Astyanax mexicanus: one gene and its partner. The protein of the gene in region 1 interacts with the protein of each later gene in a biochemical or structural test. Links are inferred from orthologs where the notes say so. Each region holds a gene or a part of one and is shown on either strand. Other genes may lie near its edges. The genes, in order: hnf4a and srebf2.

Region 1 (10,748 bases):
TTGAAAAGCAAGACAGAAATACATTTAGGCCTTTAGGTGAAAAATATGGCAAATGTAGCAAAATTAATAAAAATATTATCAATAATCATTTCAGTATATCCCTATAATAAGATCTGTAAGAGCTGTTTATGAAGTACAGTTCTGACCTGCAGGAGTACATGTGGTTTTTGCGGACGCTGCGTCTGAAGAAACCCTTGCAGCCGTCGCAGCTGGACGCCCCATAGTGTTTGCCGGTTGCCCGATCCCCACAGATGGCGCACAGGCTACCTGCACCCAGGTGGCTGGCAGCGTTCATGTTGGCACTCTCAGCTGGTGAGGAGTCTGAAACAATAAAAAAAAAAATATATATATATATTAAAAGTTACACAGTGATCCTCAGGTGCAGTCGTGAAGACCTTAAAAAAAAACGTTATGATGAAACTGGCTCTCATCAGGACAGCCCCATTGCACAGGACAAGTTTAGGAGTTACTACATGATTCCTGATGTGTTCCTTCGTAGTTTAAATGACTTCCCTATTCATTTACTATTCAATGTAGGTAAAAAATGAAAAATAAGAAGATTGAACGCAAAAGTGTTTCCAATCTTTTGAGTGGTAACAGTGAGCACACATGTCTGAAGCAGTGGGCACCCACCACTGCGGCATATAGAGAGGCTTTGCTTTAGAACAGTGGCTTGGGTATCAAACCCACCAACTTGTTTTTTTAACAATCCAAGGCTCTGATTATTGAGCTTCTTTTGGCAAATCTTAATGTAAAGCTTTATGTAATAGGTAGTCTTTAATGCTAAATTGTAACTGATATTAGAAAAAATGGCAGAAGTTTTTTGGACTTTACACTACATGGATATGAAGTGCATGAACAGACAAAGTGTTTTTTTTTTTACTTCAGATCAAAGCAAATTGAAAAAGTGAAAAAAGCTAAAGAATGTATCTGATGTCCATTATCTGCAGTACTTATAAAATGAACATCAACTTCATAGGTCCAAAAACGGAGCCTTGTGGGACTCCAAAATGTGCTATAGAAGTTTTAAAAGGTGAAAAAGCTTCTTTATTATGATTAACAACAGAATTATGAACCTAATGTTTAAAAACTTAACATATAATGGCTTTTAAATCAGTTTAAATCTAATTTAATCTCTAATTTTTTTCTTAATTACTTGAGTTTATTTAGTGTTTTAAATGATAAAAAAGGATATATGTGATCCTCCAGTAGATAACGGAGATTCAGCTCCAGCAAATTTAAAGCGGAAACGGGTTAAAGGTCACGGCCAGGCTGTAAAACGCTTTGAAGAGACCAATTTCACGCTGCAATCAATTAGCCATAAATCACTCTCATGAAAATGTGCAGTGGAGGAGTGTTTGCGGAGTAATCCAGATGTGATTATAAACTGCTAAAACTGCAGGAACTGAGCGGCAGCAGAGCTCTGCTAATAGAACTAATCATTACTCAAGAATGCGTGAATAAACGTGAGCGTGAGTAAGACTTCAGGAGCTTAATGACTTGGAAAACACGGAGACGGACATCTGAAATAAATACAGCTCGAGTGAATTAACTGAATTAACATGCCTTATTAACATAATCCATAACATAGGCCTCAATCCTGCTGCTGTAAATACAATTTTTTTTGCTGAGTATCTCAAAATATTGAAGGAAGAGCAAAATTTACACCTATTTAAAGTCTTTTAAATGACCACTTCTTAGCTTATTCAATGGATTTTAACTATATTTTATAAGTTTATAAGTTTATATATATATAATCAAAAATGCTTTTGGTTAATGAAGCTGTTTTTTTACACTTTAAACCAATAGAATTTTTAAAATGCAAATTAAAATATTATAATATATTATATTATATTCATTCAGTCTAGATTTTTAAATAGTTTTACAGATGGTATTTTTGGATTGTATTAGTTAAAATTATTATTAAATATTTATTTTATTCTCTTTTTTATTTTTTGCTATTTTATTACTGATAAAATTGAATATTTTAAATAAATTAAAAAATTAAGAAAAATTTACTTAATGCAATACTTAATTTCTTAATCTTTGTTTTTATTGTTTGTATTATCTTAACTGTATTATTTAATTTTTATTTCTATTATTTTACTATCCTTCTTTTTATCCATCTCCATTTTTTTGGAATTTTTAGAATATTTCTTATTTTCTTGTGAAGCACTTTGAATTTTAACATGATTTATCGAAAAACAAATACAAATTCAGCTTGATTGATTCAATGATTAATTAATTGTATAATATTAAGTGTAATATGTTCTTATTACGTCTTATTCGATGTAATAGTCTTAAAAAGTGCTTAAAACCCATTAAAACCAAAGTACTTGATCAAAGATGATCAAAGGGAAGCACGATAGATGTGTAGATGTTTCAGTTGATTGATTTGCGATTGACTGATTATCTGAATGGGAGAAAACAACAGCAGTGTGAGAGGATTGGGAACCAGAGTAATTAAACTCAATTAAATCATCATTCGTAGCCTAATTAAAAACTAATCATCTAAGAAATCACTGTAAATCCAGTAGTTCTGGACTTAAGTATATATATGATTAAATCTCGTATTATCTTTGGGGTCAATTTGACCCTATATAGTGTTTAAAATCCCCTATAAAGTGATTAATTCAATGAATATGTAAAAAATGTAATGTTTCAAATGTTTCAATCCCAATGTCTTTGTTATTAAGGCTGTTTTATATGAAATATCAATTTTTTTACACACATTTTTGTGGTAATGTTCAACACATGTTGAGGTCTTTTTCTAAACGCCCCCTAACTTAACACTTAAAATAGACACAACACTTTAAATACTTATGTAATACTATTATACCATTATAATAATGATACAAGTGCTGATAATTCATCAAATAAACATAAAGTAAGGAGTTTTAAATTGCTGACATCATACTGATCGAGAGAAAAGTATCAGTATTTACTTACTTATTTAACGTGAAAAACAATTAAGTGTGATGTCATTAAATTACATTATTTTTACAAGACTACTCTCATTTGAGTATCATTTCTTTGGGAACCAAACCGTTTCCACGTTGCACAATCAATGCATATTATTATTTCTTTTTTTATTAATCCATAATAAACACATATTTTAACCAGCAAAGCATCAAAGCAATCTTTCGATATAGTGCAATATATGCAAATATTTCATTATAATAAATTAATAATATATTTTCCAGCCCTAAAACCCCATTAAAGTTCCTCAGAGCATCCAGATGTTCAAGCACCTTAAAAGAAGAAAGGCTAAGAAATGAATTGTTGGTACTTTTTTAACTTATTTAACAGATTTTGCAGATACTTATATAATCGAGTCAGTTTCTCATGACGTTCAGACATGGGAAACTAAGCTGTGAAGTATTTCCACAACATCTTCTACGCTTGATGTCCATCTATCTAGCTGTCAGCTATCTCTGGAAACTCAACCCTGAAGAGACATTTTATCCTCAACCGACCAAAGAAAGCGGAGGGTAAAGGGAGCTGGACGGAATCACAGTGGGACTTTTAGTGGTGTAACTTTGACACGGAATGAAAGATGAGCCTGTCCACCTAACAAGACAGAGCTTGCAGTTTTCATCTTTCCCAAAGCTTCCAGACTCTCAGTTCAGATCTTCAGTTCTTTAGTTCTTTGCTTATTTAATCCTGTCTTGCTTCATTTCATTTTTATACCTTGGGGAACTTTTAGGGAATCTACAAGATCTGAAAGATGCTTTGAGGAAAATGCTTTAGGAAAGCTTGGGAACATTTCCTTCTGAAAGACCTTCTGGAGAGCCATTGACATTTAAAACAAGGCAATGATAACTTTAAAAGTGCACATTTTTAATGTCAGGCGTTTTCTACCAATGTTCCTATTCAACCAATGAGGTGTGGAGCTACTTTGAGCTGGATAACTGTTTAAAAAAAAAAGATTTATCTGCAGGGGCAAGTGGATGCCCCATTAGCGGTCGTTGTAAAGAGTTCTGGGCAAAAAAGCACAAATTTGATGGATCTTGGAAAGCTGTAGAAGAGCGCTGTTGGGCTTTAAAACAAAGTTTAAAACTCTTTATCATGTTTAACTACACTGAAAAGTTTTAATTTTACACTGGAGTTCTGCTTTAAGCAACTTCAGGACTGGGCTAAGCATATGTGTATGCATAATATCATATATTAATATAATTTTGTGGTGTTTAAAGGTGACTTAAGGAACATTTTCTTCTAAAAAGTCCTATAAATTTCACAGCACTTTATTCTTATTGTGGTTATTGGGTTCCTCCAGTGCATTAAACTTTTTAAAAACTCCTGTTTTTAAAAAAAAGTTGGCAGTATAAACACTAAAATAAGAGTATAAAATAATAAATATAACTCAGTATAAAGCATACTGTTCTAAACAGGTCATCCCATCCAGAGGCATCTCTAAGGAATGTATAAGGAATCTATAAAGTCTATAAACCAGCCCAAAACCCATTAAACCAACCTCATCATCCTACGCTTGACCAAACATTCTCCAGCCTATATAAAAAGTCTCAGGACTCAAAGTTCAGCCCGGGACCTGAACTTTGTCTGCAGGGTGACTCACCTGTGCTCATGGCGAGCACCTGCATGTTCTCGAACTCCAGGGTGGTGTAGGCTGGGTCCAGGGCCTCGCTATAGTCTGCCATCTCCATGTCTGCTAGAGCTTTGGACAAACGCATTCTCAGCTAGCCTGACACTGAGGGGAAAGACTTGTCCTCTCGCCGGAGTCCGGACCCCCCCCTCTCATAGAGCAAGCCCCGCCCCTCGCAGAGGTAGACACCTCTGAGTGACACGGGACATGTCCTCTGGGGCAAAGATGAGGCTGACTTTGACTGACAGGTCAGACCCCGCCCCCTCGGCCACGGCCCCAGTTCTGGAGCGGGGTGGCCCTTGGGTTAATCATTGTCTGGCTTTTTTTTCTTTAGTGCTTAATATGGATTGTTTTTTTTAGAGATAGAGATGAACAAGGCCTCTCTCTCTCTCTCTCTTTCTCTCTTTCTGTGAGTCTCTCTTTCTCTCTTTTTAATATCAGATTTTATCAAAAAAGCAAAAAAGCTTAAATAAGTTGACTTTTGTCGAATAGCACACCTCCGCTCTCCCACAGCTTTCCAAGACCCAGTAATTTTGTGCTTATAAGCCCAGCACTCTTTACAACAGCCGCTTCAGGGCATATTTTGCCCCGATAAATCGTTTTTTTCCACCGTTATCCAGGCTCAAAGTAGCTCCACACCTCATTGGTAAAATCTGGAGAGCTCTGAAATATAAAACGAGGCATTAATACCTTTAAAAGTGCATGAAAAACATATTAAAACCACTTTTTACAACTCTTTTGTAGCATTAGATGCTGTGCATCTCTGGGCTTAAAGTTAAGTCATGATCAGTACAGTGATGGCGGCGCCCAGAGATCTAACGTATCTAGCGCTATGGAGCTTTCAGACCTCAAATAATGCAAAGAAAACATAAAGTTTTCATAAAGTTGTAAGAGTTCAGAAATCAATATGTGGTGGAATAACCTTGGTTTTTATGAATCTTGGCATCATGTTCTCCTCCACCAGTCTTACACACTGCTTTTGGATAACTTTATGCTGCTTTACTCCTGGTGCAAAAATTCAAGCAGTTCAGTTTGGTGGTTTGATGGTTTGTGATCATCCATCTTCCTCTTGATTATATTCCAGAGGTTTTCAATTAGCTAAAATCAAAGAAACTAATAATTTTTAAGTGGTCGTTTATTTTTGTCTTGTCTGTATTGTATTTGATGGGGAATTTCTTCTGTAGGTACTTCAGCTTTCTACATATTTAAGACTCAATCCTGTACTCAATCCAGTACAGCAGCAGCGACTCGACTTTTCACCCAAAACTGCAGTTTTTAGTTATGACTAAATTTGGCATAAAGTATAAATGTTGGCCATTCTGTTCTCTATAGTTGGAACTTTGAGTTTTCTGTAGAACAAAGAGTTCTTTTACATAAAGGTCAGCATTTTTCCAGCTACTCAGAGTCACTGCTGTTGTTTATTGTGCAAGAATTAACAGAGACTTAGCAAACACATCATTTAAGCATGAAAATCAGGCTGGCTGGCTCTCAATCTGATTCTGTGGCCACGTAATATAATACATCCTGAAGAACATTTCTGTATTTTCCTTTAAGAAGCCTACAGTACATGTTCTCTGTATTTTAATTACGATTCGGCTGAAATCTGCTTATGATGGCTGTGTGGGTTCATGTAGTGAAAACAGTCACATTTCATTTTAACATGAGAATTTCCCACCCATAATTCTTCCCTTAGAAGAAAACAAACAGCTTTCATAATTGTGAATTTCAGATATTTGTGTCTAAAACAAATAGAGTGGTGTCAAATTCTGGTTTAGGAAAAAAACGAATAGGCACTTTTCCTAAGTTTGACCTCCCATTACTCCAAAATGCTGCAGTAAAATCACTTAATACTCATACAACTGATATCATGTAAATTGTACTTCTAGGATTTCATGATGTCATTTGATAACAGTTTGATTTGCTGGTTTTATTTGGCTCCAAACTTTGGTTTGTGCAAAACCGAATAGGCACTTTTCCAAAGTTTGACCTCGCATTACTCTAAAATGCTGCAGTAAAATCACTTGATACTAATAACATTGATAGTTTGTAAAGGGTTCTTCTAGCATTTCATGATGTCATTTGATACAAGTTTAATTTGCTGGTTTTATTGGGCTCCAAACTCTGGTTTACGCAAAACCGAATAGGCCTACTCCATTTTTACTCCAATTAGTCCGAAATGCTACAGTAATATAACTTGATATTCATAACATTGATAGTATAGAAAGTCTTCTTTAATAATTTAATGGTATCATATAAAAAAAACTCTTAAAAACCTCTGTTTACATCCTATAATGCTAGCTTCAGCTCAGAGCACCGCCATCACTGTACTGATAATGACAGACATATATACATATATATACATTATACATAGACTCCAGAGTCTATATTTTTTAATAAGCTTCTTGTGCACTTTTTTATTCTAGCAAGGAGGTGTGGAGCTACTTTGAGCTTGAATAACGGTGTAAAAAGCAATTTATCGGGGCAAATTATTATGCCCCGTGACGCCCAATCTGAATGGTTTTTGGACAAACTGTTACAATTTCTGGATCTCTGAACGCTGTGGGAGAACGGAGGTGTGCTAATCATCAAAAGTAAGAACTTTTTTATCAAGTTTTACTACAACAAAAAGTCAATTTTACACAGGATTTCGCCTTTAATATGATTGATTACATAAGAAACCACAAATAAGCAGGTATTTCACGACTTTTGCATGTGAAATAAATCAAATAAACCTTGATTTGATTTGATTTGATATGCTAACACGCAGGTTATGTTTGTTATCTGAGGGAAAACCAAAAGTAAAGCATTGGAGCATTTACGTAAACAAGTGGAGCAAGCTCGCACACATCAGAGCCAAGGCAAACACAGCCCAGGAGATATTTGAAGAAGGGAAAGTGACAGTACAAAGCCACAGGTCAACGTTCTCCGGTTCATACGGCCACCAGGACAGTAAAACTTTACCTACCACTCATCCACCCACACGCCTGCACGAGGACAGGAGCTGCCCAAAACGGTGACCAAGTAAACTCTCTAAACACGCAGTAAAACCTCTTTTAACCAGGCTAAACAACTTAATTTACTGTATAACACATTTTACAGGCAGTTACAGTTAAGATATGGAGCTTAAAACTGACAAAGTATTGGATCTGTATTGTATATACTGGGAAAATGTGACATATATATATATATATATATATATATATATATACACACATATGTGGTAATTCATAAATTAGAATTTTATCTAAGATTTTTTGTTTTTTGACTTTGAAAGTGGTGAAAATTACTGTTTAAAGTTCATATATAACATATAACATATAACTTTTTTTTTTTAGATTTAAAATACTTAGATCCAAAACTTAGAAATACAAATTTAGGCTAAAAGTGACTTAAGATTTGAATTGATTTATTGATTTAAAATGTATGCATTAGATCTTAATTTTTTTTTTTTACATTACATTATAAATTTATAGTATTTTTTATCAATAGCAATTTTTTTGCCTCGCAAACTCAAATGAATGTGTATGAATTATGCCATTAATTACTGTATATCACTACTAAAAGACATGTACATTTAATTAAAAATAAATCCGATACCACATTAAAATAAGACTACCTTTATAAAGGGTTTATAAATGGTTTACAATTAGTTTATTAATGGTTACTAATTAGGTTGATTTTTTGTCAGTATGGGAATATCTTGATTAGCTTGTAAAAACATTTTTGATAAGATCTTGATTTATATGGCTCTGCAGATCCCCCTGGACACTATGCAGACTATATTTACTGTACAGTATTGTTTAGAATTGCTTGGAAAACACCTGAACTTACTTGCCGGACAACTGATAATTTAGATATGCATAAGAGACTAATCCTGTTTATGTGTTTTGTGTGTTTTAGTTATTATTAACATGATGATCATAAATGATAAATTTTAGATAGATATAGATAAAAAAAATTAAGAGACCACTTCAGTTTCTGAATCAGTTTCTCTGATTTTGCTATTTATAGGTTTATATTTGAGTAAAATGAACATATAGACATCATTTCTCCCAAATTCTAAATAGAAATATTGCAATTTAGAGCATTTATTTACAGAAAATGTTTATTTGAGAAGTTTTAAGAGTTCATAAATTAATATTTGGTGGAATAACCCTGGTTTTTATGCATCTTGGCATCATGTTCTCCTCCACCAGTCTTACATACTACTTTTGGATAACTTTATGCTGCTTTACTCCTGGTGCAAAACTAATTCAAGCAGTTCAGTTTGGTGGTTTGATGGCTTGTGATCATCCATCTTCCTTTTGATTATATTTCAGAGGTTTTAAATTTGGTAAAATCAAAGAAACTCATCATTTTTCAGTGGTCTCATTATACATATATATTTATATATATAGATTTATTTCTGAAAGTGCCTTTTGCTTTTTTGTGCACATTAAGATGCAAGAAATTCAAGTAAACTGTCTAATCTAAGCAAGTGCTAAGGTGCTAACTCTAACTTTAACGTGTCTTTGGGAATCTCTTCCTCATCTCCTTATTTGCTCAGGAGATTTGTTCTGGCCTCAGAAACAGTGAGGAGTGACTCACGTTCTGCAAATCTTATCTGGCTTACCATTAAAGTCTTTATCGTAGCCTAAATCTCAAGAGCCCTGTGAACGGCCTCCACGGCTCTATAAAATCTAATCCACAAGGTTATGGCTCTTTCCGTCACATGCCAAGTCAGAGTGTTCAATCCAGGTAGATCCAGATAAATGGAGAGATCGTTAGCTACATGTATCACATGGGAAAAGCCTCACGGTAACCCAGGCTAACCTTTATAAACCAGACTTTTCATTTCCAGATTATTCATAATGACAAATTACAGCCATTTACAGCTATTTAGTCCTGTATATTATAGGAGTCCACCAACTCTCAATTCAGTACTCTTAACCCTTTCAATCCTTAGTTTTGTCCCAGTAATGGAAAAAAAATATTTAACAAAACTTTTTTCAACCTGTAATGCACACAAAAGAAGAAACGAATACCATAAAATGAAATAAAATAAAATAAAATATTATTATTACAATTTTCATTGTCTATTACATTGGAAAGCCAGTGTTTAACATTTTTTGTTTTATATATGATATTGAACATTCCTACACAGTAAAATAAACATGATTAAAGTATCTAAATCACATAAAATCAGTAGAAAAAATGAGCTCTTATTACTTTAAAAGGTTTAATGAAAGAATGGGTCTCAGGCTCTCAGGAGCTCAGTGAACTCCAGGCCTGTGGTACTGTGATACTGTAGGATGCAGCACCTGTGCAACAACAAGTCCAGTCGTGAAATTTCACTACTCACTACTAAATAAAGTTTTAAGAGTTCAGAAATCAATGTTTAGTGGAAAAACCCTGGTTTGGTTTTTAATCACAGTTTTTTCATGCATCTTGGCATCATGTTCTTCTCCTCCACCAGTCTTACACACTGCTTTTGGATAACTTTATGCTGCTTTACTCCTGGTGCAATTTTTTTTAAAGCAGTTCAGTTTGGTGGTTTGATGGCTTGTGATCATCCATCTTCCTCTTGATTATATTCCAGAGGTTTTTAATATGGTAAAATCAAAGAAACTCATACTTTAATGTTTTTTTTTTTCAGAGCTGTATATACTACAATGGCTGCCAACTGGGCCATTAATTAATAGCCTATCTAATCCCTGACCAGCAGGTAACAAGAGAATCAGCTTTTCAATTAATCAATCAATCAATCAATCACTCCCTTACTCAATCAATCAGTCAATCTATCATTTCTTATTCTCATATAGCCTAGTTTTCTACTTAGCAGTGAAGAGCCTGTAATGATTTATCTCTCTCATCTCTGATCACATCACTCTTACTGAAACCTGAGAACTACAGAACATCTATCACAGGCCGAGTGAATAAAGGAATTTAACACACACAATATTATACAAATGAATATTGTGTTTTAGTAAAATAAGTAAAATTACATTACATTACATTACATTTGGCAGACGCTTTTGTCCAAAGCGACTTACAATAGTCAAGTACAATGTAAAATAAGTTTAAAGGTAAAACATCTTTGGATAGGGATAAGAGGAGGTCAAAGGGGAATAATAGGATAGAGGAGTGAAGGAGGGGAAGAAGGAAA
Region 2 (11,102 bases), on another chromosome or scaffold:
TGCAGAAATTCAAGTAATCCCAAAGGGTTTACATACTTTTTCTTGCAACTGTATATATAACTGATTAAATAAAGCACTGTTCTGCTTTTGATTAAATGCCTGTACCTGTAATTTTCCTCCTAAGCAAAAAGAAAGGCTGGTAAGATGAGTGGCATTTACAGCTGGTACCTGCCCACAGTAGCATCACACCTTCACCTACACCATCCCTGAACTGATGAAAGGTCAGAAACGACACTCTGGCCTTGAGAGAGGAGATTTACTGCCCTCTATTTGTCCACTTCAGCCAAGGTCACCTGGAGGAATGACCTTGATCTGCTGAGTGCAACAGGTGCACAAATGGTTGTGGTACAGCACAGGAAACCTCAAAAGTGCAATTTTAATCAAACAATTACCACAGCAGTGCTTTTATAGTCACAATTTTCCCCAAGTTGTGCAATACTAATTATTATACATTTAATTCAGTAGTACTAATACAGATACAATTATTCTAATCATAAATTTACTAGTGCTAATCTAGTCAGATTAGTTTTTAGTCATATATTTGCCTCGGCAATGCTATTCTAACAAAAAAAAAACCCTCAGAACTACTAATCAAACAAATTTACCTCATTAGAGCTATTCCAGTAACAAATTTACCTTAGCACTGCTACTCTTGTAATAAATTTACCTCAGTAGGGTCAGAATCAGATAATGTATTCATTAACATGGATTGTTTCCTTACCCAGTTTGGTTAGAGAACTTTCTTTTAGATGAAAAGTGGAGGGCTGAGGCAAAGCTCTACAAAGTTTTCACCTTGTTGGTAAACACAGCTGATGTTTGTCTGAAACTTAAGACATATTTGAGGATATATCTACACTCTTACATACAGAATTGTAACTGGCATCTGCAAGCATTTTCATAAGATGTTACTGTGGAGCTCTGTCAAAGTTTAGCTGCTGTGGAAGACAGAGGGACTTTATTCCCACTGTGTGTTTGGGGGCTGCTATTTTCATGGGCTGGAAAACCTTTCACTCCATGAAAATAGCAGCCCCCGAACACATGGTCCAGATCAGTTGATCAGTTTATTTATTTAGAGCGTTATCTCCCTCTGTTTGGTTTGGTTTCACACAGGTATAAACCTAAACGCACCAAAATGCGCACCAATAACCCATGCAAGCACGTTGTCTCCTCTGATTGGCCAGAACTGTCTGGTGCAGGAGCAAGAAAGTAAATATAGCGTGAAGATTCTGTGTTCCAGCGCGTATATATCTGTGCAGTATGAATCTGTTTTAAAACAGAATGCTGAGAATTTGTAACTGAGCTTTTAAACACAGTATTTTTAATGGCAGGTGCAGTGCAGCTGCGAGCAGTGAACGCTGTACATTACTGCATGTGTAAACAGCATGGAGCAGCAGAGACAGCGTTTGTTAATAGCAGTATATCATCTGGCTAATATATCAGACTAAACTGTTTAGCTCAATTAAAAAGTATGTATGAAATCTGCATGTTGGCTGGAGGTGGGGCATATTATGGTGGAAGTTACGACAGGGGCAAACTTTGTGGTTTAATTAATTTGCGCTAAAAATAATAACTCTTTACTGATTCCAAAAGAATTGTGTGCGTTAACACGTTAACATTGACAGCCCTGGTAAAAAGTAATCTACATTCTGACCTCAACAGTAGGAAAGTGGTAAAGTAGCATCACTAAATAATACCCCAAAACATTTATTTACACTTTAGACTTTTAAACATTAGACAGCATTACTATCAATTTCTGGCAGCAGAAAGCAAAGTTGAGCGCAGAAACCTTACAATCAGTTGTCACCACTAACCCTGAACTTTCAGCCTCGAACACATGCACCACACGTTCCACACGCCTCCACACGTCTGCAGGCCAACTACTAATGTTATGGTCAGAACTGGTAATACAGCAGCAATAATCAAACGCTATCTAATCAATTAGCCCCACTATCTCACTAACCGAGGTCACACTGCTGTCCTTCCATTATACTGTTCTCTATCAAAGTGTGCCATCAAAACATGGCCAGATACACTAATGTCTACTGTGTGATCATCTTTATTATTAGCAAGAGTTTATTGATGTGGCACTATCTGTCTGATAGCAGATGTGAGACAAGTTTGATAACAGATCTGATAAGACCTGCACCGAAGAACTGAACACCTGCACTCCGTCTGAGTTCAAGGATGTTCTGAGAAAGACACACCACTTTATAGTCATACTTTATATTTAAGAAAAGCGTAACTTGCTCTTATGGTCTAAAACATTGTAGACAGACAATCAGCCATTATATAAAATATAACTGAATACCCAGCAAATATAGCCCTGATTGGCAAGACTACACACAACCAATATGCAAATAAATGCTGCCAGAAGCCAATATGAAAGATAGACTTTGTGTGTTTCATCTTAACTCCACCCAGACAAAGTGAGTACAAACTACTACACTTCCGAAGAGTGAGCCTAAACTCAACCTGCAGTCTAACTTAGAGAATATACTCAAAAAATCAACACTGTAAATCTGCATGCCCAATTCTGCTCTCAAAACCGAGATCAGTAAGTGTGCACTGTCTACACACACAGCTAAACACACACCAACATCAGTACACACTTCATCTCTGCACTCCTGGGAGTGCATAAGAGTGTACACATCACCCCGCTGTAGTTACTGAGTAATAACCTGCTGTATCTGCACTAATGACCCCCATCCCCATCTGCCTGAGCTCGACTGCCCTGAGGTAAATGAGCCCCGTCAGGAGCTAAAGTCGACAGAACAAACAAAAGCACAACCGTAACACGAAAGCCTACTGTCTGTACAATATATTACTGTTACTACTACTACTACTACTACAGTACATACAGACAGACAATACAAAGGACCACATGGGTGGTCAATATATGCTTTATAATGTCCCCTTTGTAAGAGTTATGGTTATATGCCCTATGATTGACACTATACACCTTCCTAAAATAATAAAAAATTGTAAAAAATACTTTTTTTTTTTGTCTAAATCATGTCTTAATATTGCTGCATGGCCATATGTTGTAAAATTGCCTACACCCTCAGTTGATCATATCATTTGATTCTACCTCTTTAGGATAATGGCCTGTGTCAAGAGTGTGACTTAAGCTAATTCATTAAGCCTCAGTCAAAATAAAATAATATTTTCATAGATTTCCAATACCAGGCTCCTTTACTGAACTAATTTACACAATTTACAGCTCATCCTCAATTGATAAGTGAGGAGAATTGTGTAGTTCGTATTATTAAAGAATGTTGGTTATGAATATTGCATTGTTGTTTAGGCTTATTATTGATTTTTTTTGTCTGAATTTTAGTCTGCGAAATAGCTAAGTCCAAAAGCTACATAGAAATGCTCTATAATTTGTGGCTGGTTAAAATCATAATTGTTTTCTGTCTTTTCAATCAATATTTTCAGAATTTTCAATTAGTATTGTTTCTGGTTCTACTGCGAGACTGTATGATAAACTATCATTTTAAACCACTGCTCATTTTTAAATAGTTTTTTTTGTGTTTCCTGAAAAACTTGATAAATTATTTTAGGAAGGTGTCAATACTGTATACAGAGTTTCAATAGATACGCTGCACTGCTGTGTCTAACCCACTCATACCAGCAAAACACACACCGACACACCACCACCTTACGGTCGCAGTCCTGACCACTGAAGAACAGGGTAAAAGGAGGATAATATAGTATATAGAGAAAATGTAGAGAAGAATATTATAGAAGAATATAATAATATGTATAAGCCACTATACACTCTATGTAGTGTACTTTAAAAGTGTTAAAGCCAGCATATATACTTAAGTGTGTACTTTATACTGTAAATCTATAAGCCATTTATACAAAATGTTGTGTACTATATTGGTCTACAAGACAGTATGTACACTGTATAGTATACCGTACAATTAGTAACTATTATGTGTACTATATTACTAGATGTATAAGCTAGTATAAACAGTATCTAGTGTTCAAAAAAGTATGTAAAGTGTACTATAATACAACTATATGCCAGTATAAACACTCTTTGTAGTGTACTCTATAGCTAGGAACATAAGCCTGTATATACACTTTTGGTGTACTATATAAGTCTATATGCCCGTATATACATTATGTACATTATAGCTAGGGAAATAAGTCTGTATATACAGAGCTTAGGGTACTAAACAAGTCTATTAGCCTGTATATATTATATAACCTAAATTTCTTGCCTCTTAGTGTGTTTGATAGCATCAGTCGAAAAGTTGTAAAGAGGCAGAGTTGGCTTAATTAATCCATATATAGTTCTAATCCATATTATAAAAATAATTACTTAACTAAGTAAAGAATAAAATAATAAGTTAAAAAATTGAACGTCAATGATAAACATCAGTCAATCTTAAAAATTTCAGGAACTTTGAAGACCATCAAAAACATGATGAAACTGGCCCTCATTAGGACGGGCCCCACAGGATAAGTTACCAGCCTCAGGAACTGCAAGTTAACAGCATCACAGATAAGAGCCACCTGGTATTTTGGTTTGTTTAACAATTTAAAGTTATTACATTATTTTTTATGTGTTCCTTTATAGTGTGGATGACTTCAATATTAATTTACAATGTGGGGAAAAAAAGATGTGCCCAAACTTTTGGGGGGCTGTACACACACACACACACTTAGTGTATTGTAGTTGTTTAGTGTACTACACAGTGTATAAGTGAGTATATAAACTATGATAATGCAGTAACGTTACTACTACTACTATCACCATCTGACTGACTGACTGACCTGTCTCACTACTGTACACACCCCGGTTACACACACAGAACATAGCATATAACGCACTAAACAGCGCACAGAGCGCTCAGACACTAGAGACACGACCACAGCAGAGCCCGGTCTGTTTACCGTCGATATCCCCGAGGGTGAACTCGTCCCCCAGCTCGGACAGGGTCGGGTCCATGTTCTCCATGGCTGACAGGTACTCTCCGCCGTCCATACCAGCGGCGTCCCCGGTTCCGGTGTCTCCCCGGGCGGGTCGGGCAGCAGAGGAGGCGGTGCCCGCTCTGCCTGTGTGTTTGAGGAGTGGGGGTGTGTTTTAGCCTTAAAACCGACCCTGAAAACACCCCAAAATACCCCAAACCGGGCCTGTCCGCATCGCTGAGCTGAACCGTCAGAACCCCCTTCACAAAACAAACGGAGCCATCTTGTTCCACAACGTCGACGTCATGCGCCCCGGGGACGCCTGATTGGCTCGGCCGCGGAGTGAGACCAGGCAGAGTCGACCAATCACAGCGCCCGCCGCTCCGTGGTCTGATAGTACGTCGATGAGCAGAGGCGCTTTGTGATTTGAATACGACCCGCCTCAGACTGCTGGCCACGCCTACTCTGGTTTCGCCTATTGCTCTGAAGCGGGATCTCATGAATATTCATGTATCTGAGGCGGATGGGCGGAGCTACTCCTCTGTTATGTTGGTGTTACATCATCGCCAACTCCAAACACAAACATTATTCTAACTCAGATCTAAATACTCTAAAACAGGTTCATAAAAACATAAATTCAGATAAAAATAGATTTAGAGCGTTGTAGTGTAGAAATACCATATATTAACAGGATATGATATAGTAACAATAAATGTATAATTAGTTTTATAGCTACATATAATAGTTTTGTATTAATAGTAGGCGTACACTATGTAATAGCATGTTTATAAAGGTATAGTAAAATAATTTTTTTTTTTTTAAGTTTAGTGTGTTTATAATAATTGTTCTACAGGGCACAAGTTCAACACAAATAATATTTTAATAAGTTTTATAGCACCATAATATTTTAAGCAGTAGGTTATATTAAATGAGTAACAGTGTTCAGGTTCATATTATAAGAATTGTCAGTAAAAAGAAGTTTACATTATTAGTATTTTTTTATCTTGAAGTACATGTTCAACAGAAATATTATTTTAATAGGTTTATAGGTTCAGAAGAATATAATTGATTACTACACATGTATTTTTACATTTTATTGTAAGATTCCTACCATCAATAGTAAGTTTATATTATTGGAAATAAAAGTATTATAATTGTTCTAATTGTTAGACAATACATAATATAAGAAAAAGGAGTTCTGTGATGTCTTAACAATATAGATCTGTAGAAAAAAAAATAAGAGACCAATTTAGTTTCTGAATCAGTTTCTCTGATTTTGCTATTTATAGTAAAATAAACATTGTTGTTTGATTCCATAAACTATGGACAAAATTTCTCCCAAATTCCAAATAAAAATATTGTAATTTAGAGCATTTATTTGCAGAAAATGAGAAATGGCTGAAATAACAAAAAAGATGCAGAGCTTTCAGATCTCAAATAATGCAAAGAAAACAAGTTCAGAAATCAATATTTGGTGAAATAACCCTGCATCTTTGCATGTTCTCCTCCACCAGTCTTACACACTGCTTTTGGATACTATGACTATGCCAATCCATGTGCAAAAATTCAAGCAGTTCAGCTCGGTTTGATGGCTTGTGATGTTTTCAATTTGGTAAAATCAAAGAAACTTGTAATTTTTAAATGCTCTCTTATTTTTTCCAGAGCTGTATGTATAATTAATTAATGTACTCAGGGCTTCATTTCCTTAAGTTAGTGTTTTATAATGTGCATCACATCCTGTACAGCCCTGTTTAAACCCTGACCATTAAATTTTATTAATACACAGGGTTATCTGTGCTATAAAACAGGAAAAGTAAATATAATTCTGTTATCTGTGCTGGAGATATACAGGAGTGGGTGGGTGAAAACCACCTGCTGGTTGTGTGTGTGTGCATGCAAGGGCGTAGGAGCAGGTTTGATATTGGGGGGGACATATTTGCCAATATGAACCCAAGCCCACCCAATAGTTTCTTAGAACAACATTTGTGGAAATTACTTTTAATCACAAATAATCATTTTTTTCTGTATTTTGTTTTTTATTAGTTAACAAGGTGATTTTACAACCTAAACATGTTACTCCACATTACATTTACTGTTGTAAGAAAAAAATATGCATATACATATACATACAAAAATGATCAGTTATCACCTAATATTTAAAATAATATAACAGATTTGGTTATTATTATTATTATTATTATTATTATTATAATCATGTATTGGCATGTCAATTCTGTTGTATATTTACATTTTCTCCACTCTTTAAAAAAAATCCTACGCTTTTTTCTACTGAGAGCTCTTCTAAAGATTGGTGTCCTTTTATGTAAAAGAATGTAACTTTACGTTTCATAAAGGACATGTGGCCTTACTGTGAACCCTGTTCTTACATATTCTACTGAATATTAACACTGTTCTACATATTCTAGAGCTTCCTCTGCTTTAAAGGCACTTATTAAAGTAAGTGGTGGTATGATGTGTCTAATACACTGCTGGATATACATGATTAAACTCAGTAAACTCAGTAAATGACTGTTTATTAGCTGATCAGCTGGATCAGGTGGAAAACACAATTTTGGGGCGGTGATCAGGGTTAAGAAACTGCTTTAAACTACAAACATAAAGTACTGTACTACATTCTGGCTATCCTCTACATCCAGCTTCTAGCCAACTAGTTAGCTAAATTAATCCTAAATTAATAAAGACAGTTTAAAAATGAAATAGTGATTAGCTGATCAGGTACAGGGCAAGTTGAACATTACATAAATAGTTTATTTTTTCTTTAACGTTGACTTCCAATCTAACTAATTCCAAGCTAACTCACTTACACAGCTGCAGTTTATTAATCACAGTGTGTTTAATCTGTGTGCTGATTTAGAGTCGTGTATTTTTAACCAGCTATCAGAAACTTATCACAGTTTATGTGGTTAGCCTATCGTTACTTTTCTTTTAGAAAAATCTCCGTATATCCAGATCCGTTTTAAAATCAGCTGAAGCTGCGTCCCGATCCCGCTGCTAAATCTCACAGCGAGGGGGCGGGGCTTCCCCAACAGCAAACTGCCGGTCCTCTGCGAGCCGCAAAACGGATTGGCTGTTTCTACTGAGAGGCGGGACTTAATACCTGAGCCGGCTCCGTGATTGGTCCGGTCTGTCTCCTCATTAATAGTACAGCTGATCTGAGCGAAACGATATCATTTTTGGGTGGGACAAATCCACCTGTTTCCAATATTGGGTGGGACATGTCCCACCCATCCCCCCCGGTTCCTACGCCAGTGTGTGCATGAGTAGTAATACAGTAATAACAGTAATTAGTTAGTGGCCATCAGAACACACCCACACACAATGGTCCAGAAAAACAGGCTTTATTGAGTTCAGATCAGCAGACTGTTCCAGTAGAGGCATACACACACCCGTCTGAAGGCACGTCACCACAGTACATAATACTGTACTCAGCACCAGCATTTTACATCTGATCTCCACATCTGCTCCAGTTCTGCTCTACATCACACTCCCACTGTAATTAATACCCAACCAGTTCTGGACTGATCGTCTGAGTCGGTAATCAATCATTTTTTGATGTTTTGTTTTTTAAATGAAGTGCAGTGTAAATATGAGCTTCAGGTAAATATTTAAGAGCAAACCCCTTTACTAAAATAGTAGAAATGCACCAAAATGCAAGTTTTTGGCTGAAACCAAAGTAAAGGAATAATTTGTCCAAATACTAAATACTGTATAGATCACATCAAAAAGATAAGTGTGAACAGCCTAAAAGTAAACATCGTATTAGGTGAGAAAATTTGATTTGGGTCTCTTTACCTTTTGTGTGAAAATTCTCAGAATACGTTTGTTGCAATAACTTTATGTGAGGAGCTGTACAGCTTCAGATGTTCTGCTTCCATTCACTACCTCTCTACACTATACTACTGTAACTGGGTAAAATTATCTTGAACCGAACATTTTACACCAAACGCCACTCTGAATCACTCAGTTCTCATCTTAACTAAACAATTAAGCAGTTTCTGGTGAACATCTGGTGAATAATTAAATTCAGATTTTGGTTGAAATGCATACCCCTGTTAGTTACTGCGGCATAATAAGTGCATTAATAATGGAACCCAGTTTAAAAAACTGGGGTTGGATAGCATCGATTAAAAAGCGATGGAAAAGCAGGTTAAAGCCCAATCCGGAGGGGATTAGTTTCTCAGGGGGATGTCTGTGAAAAATATTTCACACTTCTACTCAGTGATAAAACTCTTGCATCCGGACTGCAATAAAAAAAAGGGGGAGCCAGTGAGTTTTTTGGCTTTTTCGGTCACATGACATCGCGTTCAGTAGCTCCTCCATTTCCACTCGCTGTTGTGTTTACGTGGATCTCCGCGGAAACGCACAAATGGCTATTTTATTAAACAGAAAAGTGACAAAACTTGGAGATGTGCGTCTGGACAGGACTACAGTTTCCAGACGACCATGGAGTTTAGTGAAAAACAGTAGATAATTTAGCCTGTAATTATCTCAGAGAACCCCCTCTGAGAGAAAATTACCTCAGAACCCCTGAGAAACTAATCTCGTCTTGATAGGGCTTAAGACAGTGCATCATCTCTATGTTTTGTTCTCCAAGGCTACGTCTTTTAGCACAGTCCCTCATTTGTTCCAGTAAATCTCGTAGGAATGTCTCTCCGTGTTTCCAGCTGCAGACCGAACCTTCTCCTTCACCACCTTCACCACCAGCCCTCCGGCCACCACGATTCCCACCGCTGCCTTTCCGATCTCCGTCACTGCCGTGATGATCCGTGCTGTAGTTCCCACCGTGTTCAGAGCACCTGTTAGCCCGCTGCTAGCTGCCAAAGCATTCTGACCGCTGCATGCAGCGCCCCCTACTGTCTGCACAACGCCCCCGGTGGCAACAGCCTGCGATGCAGCCAGAGCACCCTCTGCAGCAGCACCCCCAGCGACTACAGCATTTGGTGCAGCGACAGCCGTAGCATTAGCGATGCCAACTGCTCCTCCGACTGCAGCCCCACCCTCAAGCATCGCCCCTATAGCTGCTCCCGCCCCTAAAGTCCCACCAACTCCTGCAGCCACGCCCACCACTATAGCACCCACTGTGCCAACCTGTTCTAGAGCTTCCAGTGCTGCCTCTCTAGGCCCGGCTGCTTCTGCCCCAGCCAAGGCTCCCACTGATCCCCCCAGAAGCCCCCCAGTAGCAGCCCCCACGGCTACCGCTGTTTTCCCAGTTGCTGCTGCTACAATCGCGCCAAGAGCCTTTCCCACCCCGCTCCCTGCCACAGACACCCCAGCAAACTGCCCTGCGACCAGCCCCACCGAGCTGCCCATCATGGAGGCTCCAGCTGCCATAGCCAGAGGGGCAGCAGCTCCAAACACCGCTCCCACTGCCATGCCTGTAGCTCCGGCTGTAACCAACACCTTCACCTGGTCTAGAACCTTCTGAGACAGAGCAGCTTCCCTGCGGAAGCGGCTAACGGCTAATCGGAGTGACTGGCGCCTGCTTCCTCTCCTCCGCTCTCTCTCCCTCCAGCTCCCTTCACTCATCCTTCCATCCCTCCCCCTCTCCTCCACCCCCTCATCATGTCTTCCCTCCACCTCTCTCCGTCTCAAGCCCTGCTCCAGCTCCGTTCGTCTTCTCTTAGCTATCGCTAACCCTCCATCCGGTCTCTCCACCTCCTCTCCCTCTCCTTGTCCTCTCTCTTTCATCAGTCTCTCCTCTTCTGCTCGGATGGCGAGTTCGGCCTGCTGGAACATGGCGCTGGTGTAGAACCGCCCCTCGTTCTCCTGAACCATCTTCTCCACCTTCTGGAGTAGCATTTTTACCTTTAGAACAAAAGCAGGACATCATAAAACCACTGCAGTAAAATAAGCAGTTTTGCTTTCTTTGTGAATATACATGCAATTTTCCAGTGTTCTTTTAACATCAGCCAGATCTAATACACCATCAAAATGATTACATTTATTTACCTGTGTTCTATCTCCCATTTCTTTGTTGTTTAGTACGTGGTATCGCCCCCCGCAGGTCTGCAGCAGATCCCTCAGCTCTCTAGGAACTTCCTCCCGACCTAGAAACCCCTCTATCCCACCACCACCCTCCTCCAGGTCATCTCCACGGGTGAAGAGCACCACTGTGTGGCGCTGTAGAGCCGTTTCCCCAAACACCTGGAGCATCTCTC

The links.
Region 2: the proteins of hnf4a (region 1) and srebf2 form a complex in vitro, tested with the Homo sapiens proteins (2 studies listed by BioGRID and IntAct). The link is inferred for Astyanax mexicanus from reciprocal best matches to the Homo sapiens genes HNF4A and SREBF2.

Annotation. Positions count from the first base shown.
Region 1 is NC_064420.1:2,566,528-2,577,275, forward strand, and holds the start of hnf4a (hepatocyte nuclear factor 4-alpha), read right to left. Parts: upstream 4,735-10,748; 5' UTR 4,692-4,734; coding exon 4,577-4,691; intron 322-4,576; coding exon 147-321; intron 1-146. UniProt on the Homo sapiens protein: Transcriptional regulator which controls the expression of hepatic genes during the transition of endodermal cells to hepatic progenitor cells, facilitating the recruitment of RNA pol II to the promoters of target genes. Activates the transcription of CYP2C38.
Region 2 is NC_064410.1:8,705,152-8,716,253, forward strand, and holds the start of srebf2 (sterol regulatory element-binding protein 2), read right to left. Parts: upstream 5,222-11,102; 5' UTR 5,000-5,221; coding exon 4,909-4,999; intron 1-4,908. Other genes in the region: uncharacterized protein LOC111188799, read right to left, coding at 9,562-10,749, 10,894-11,102.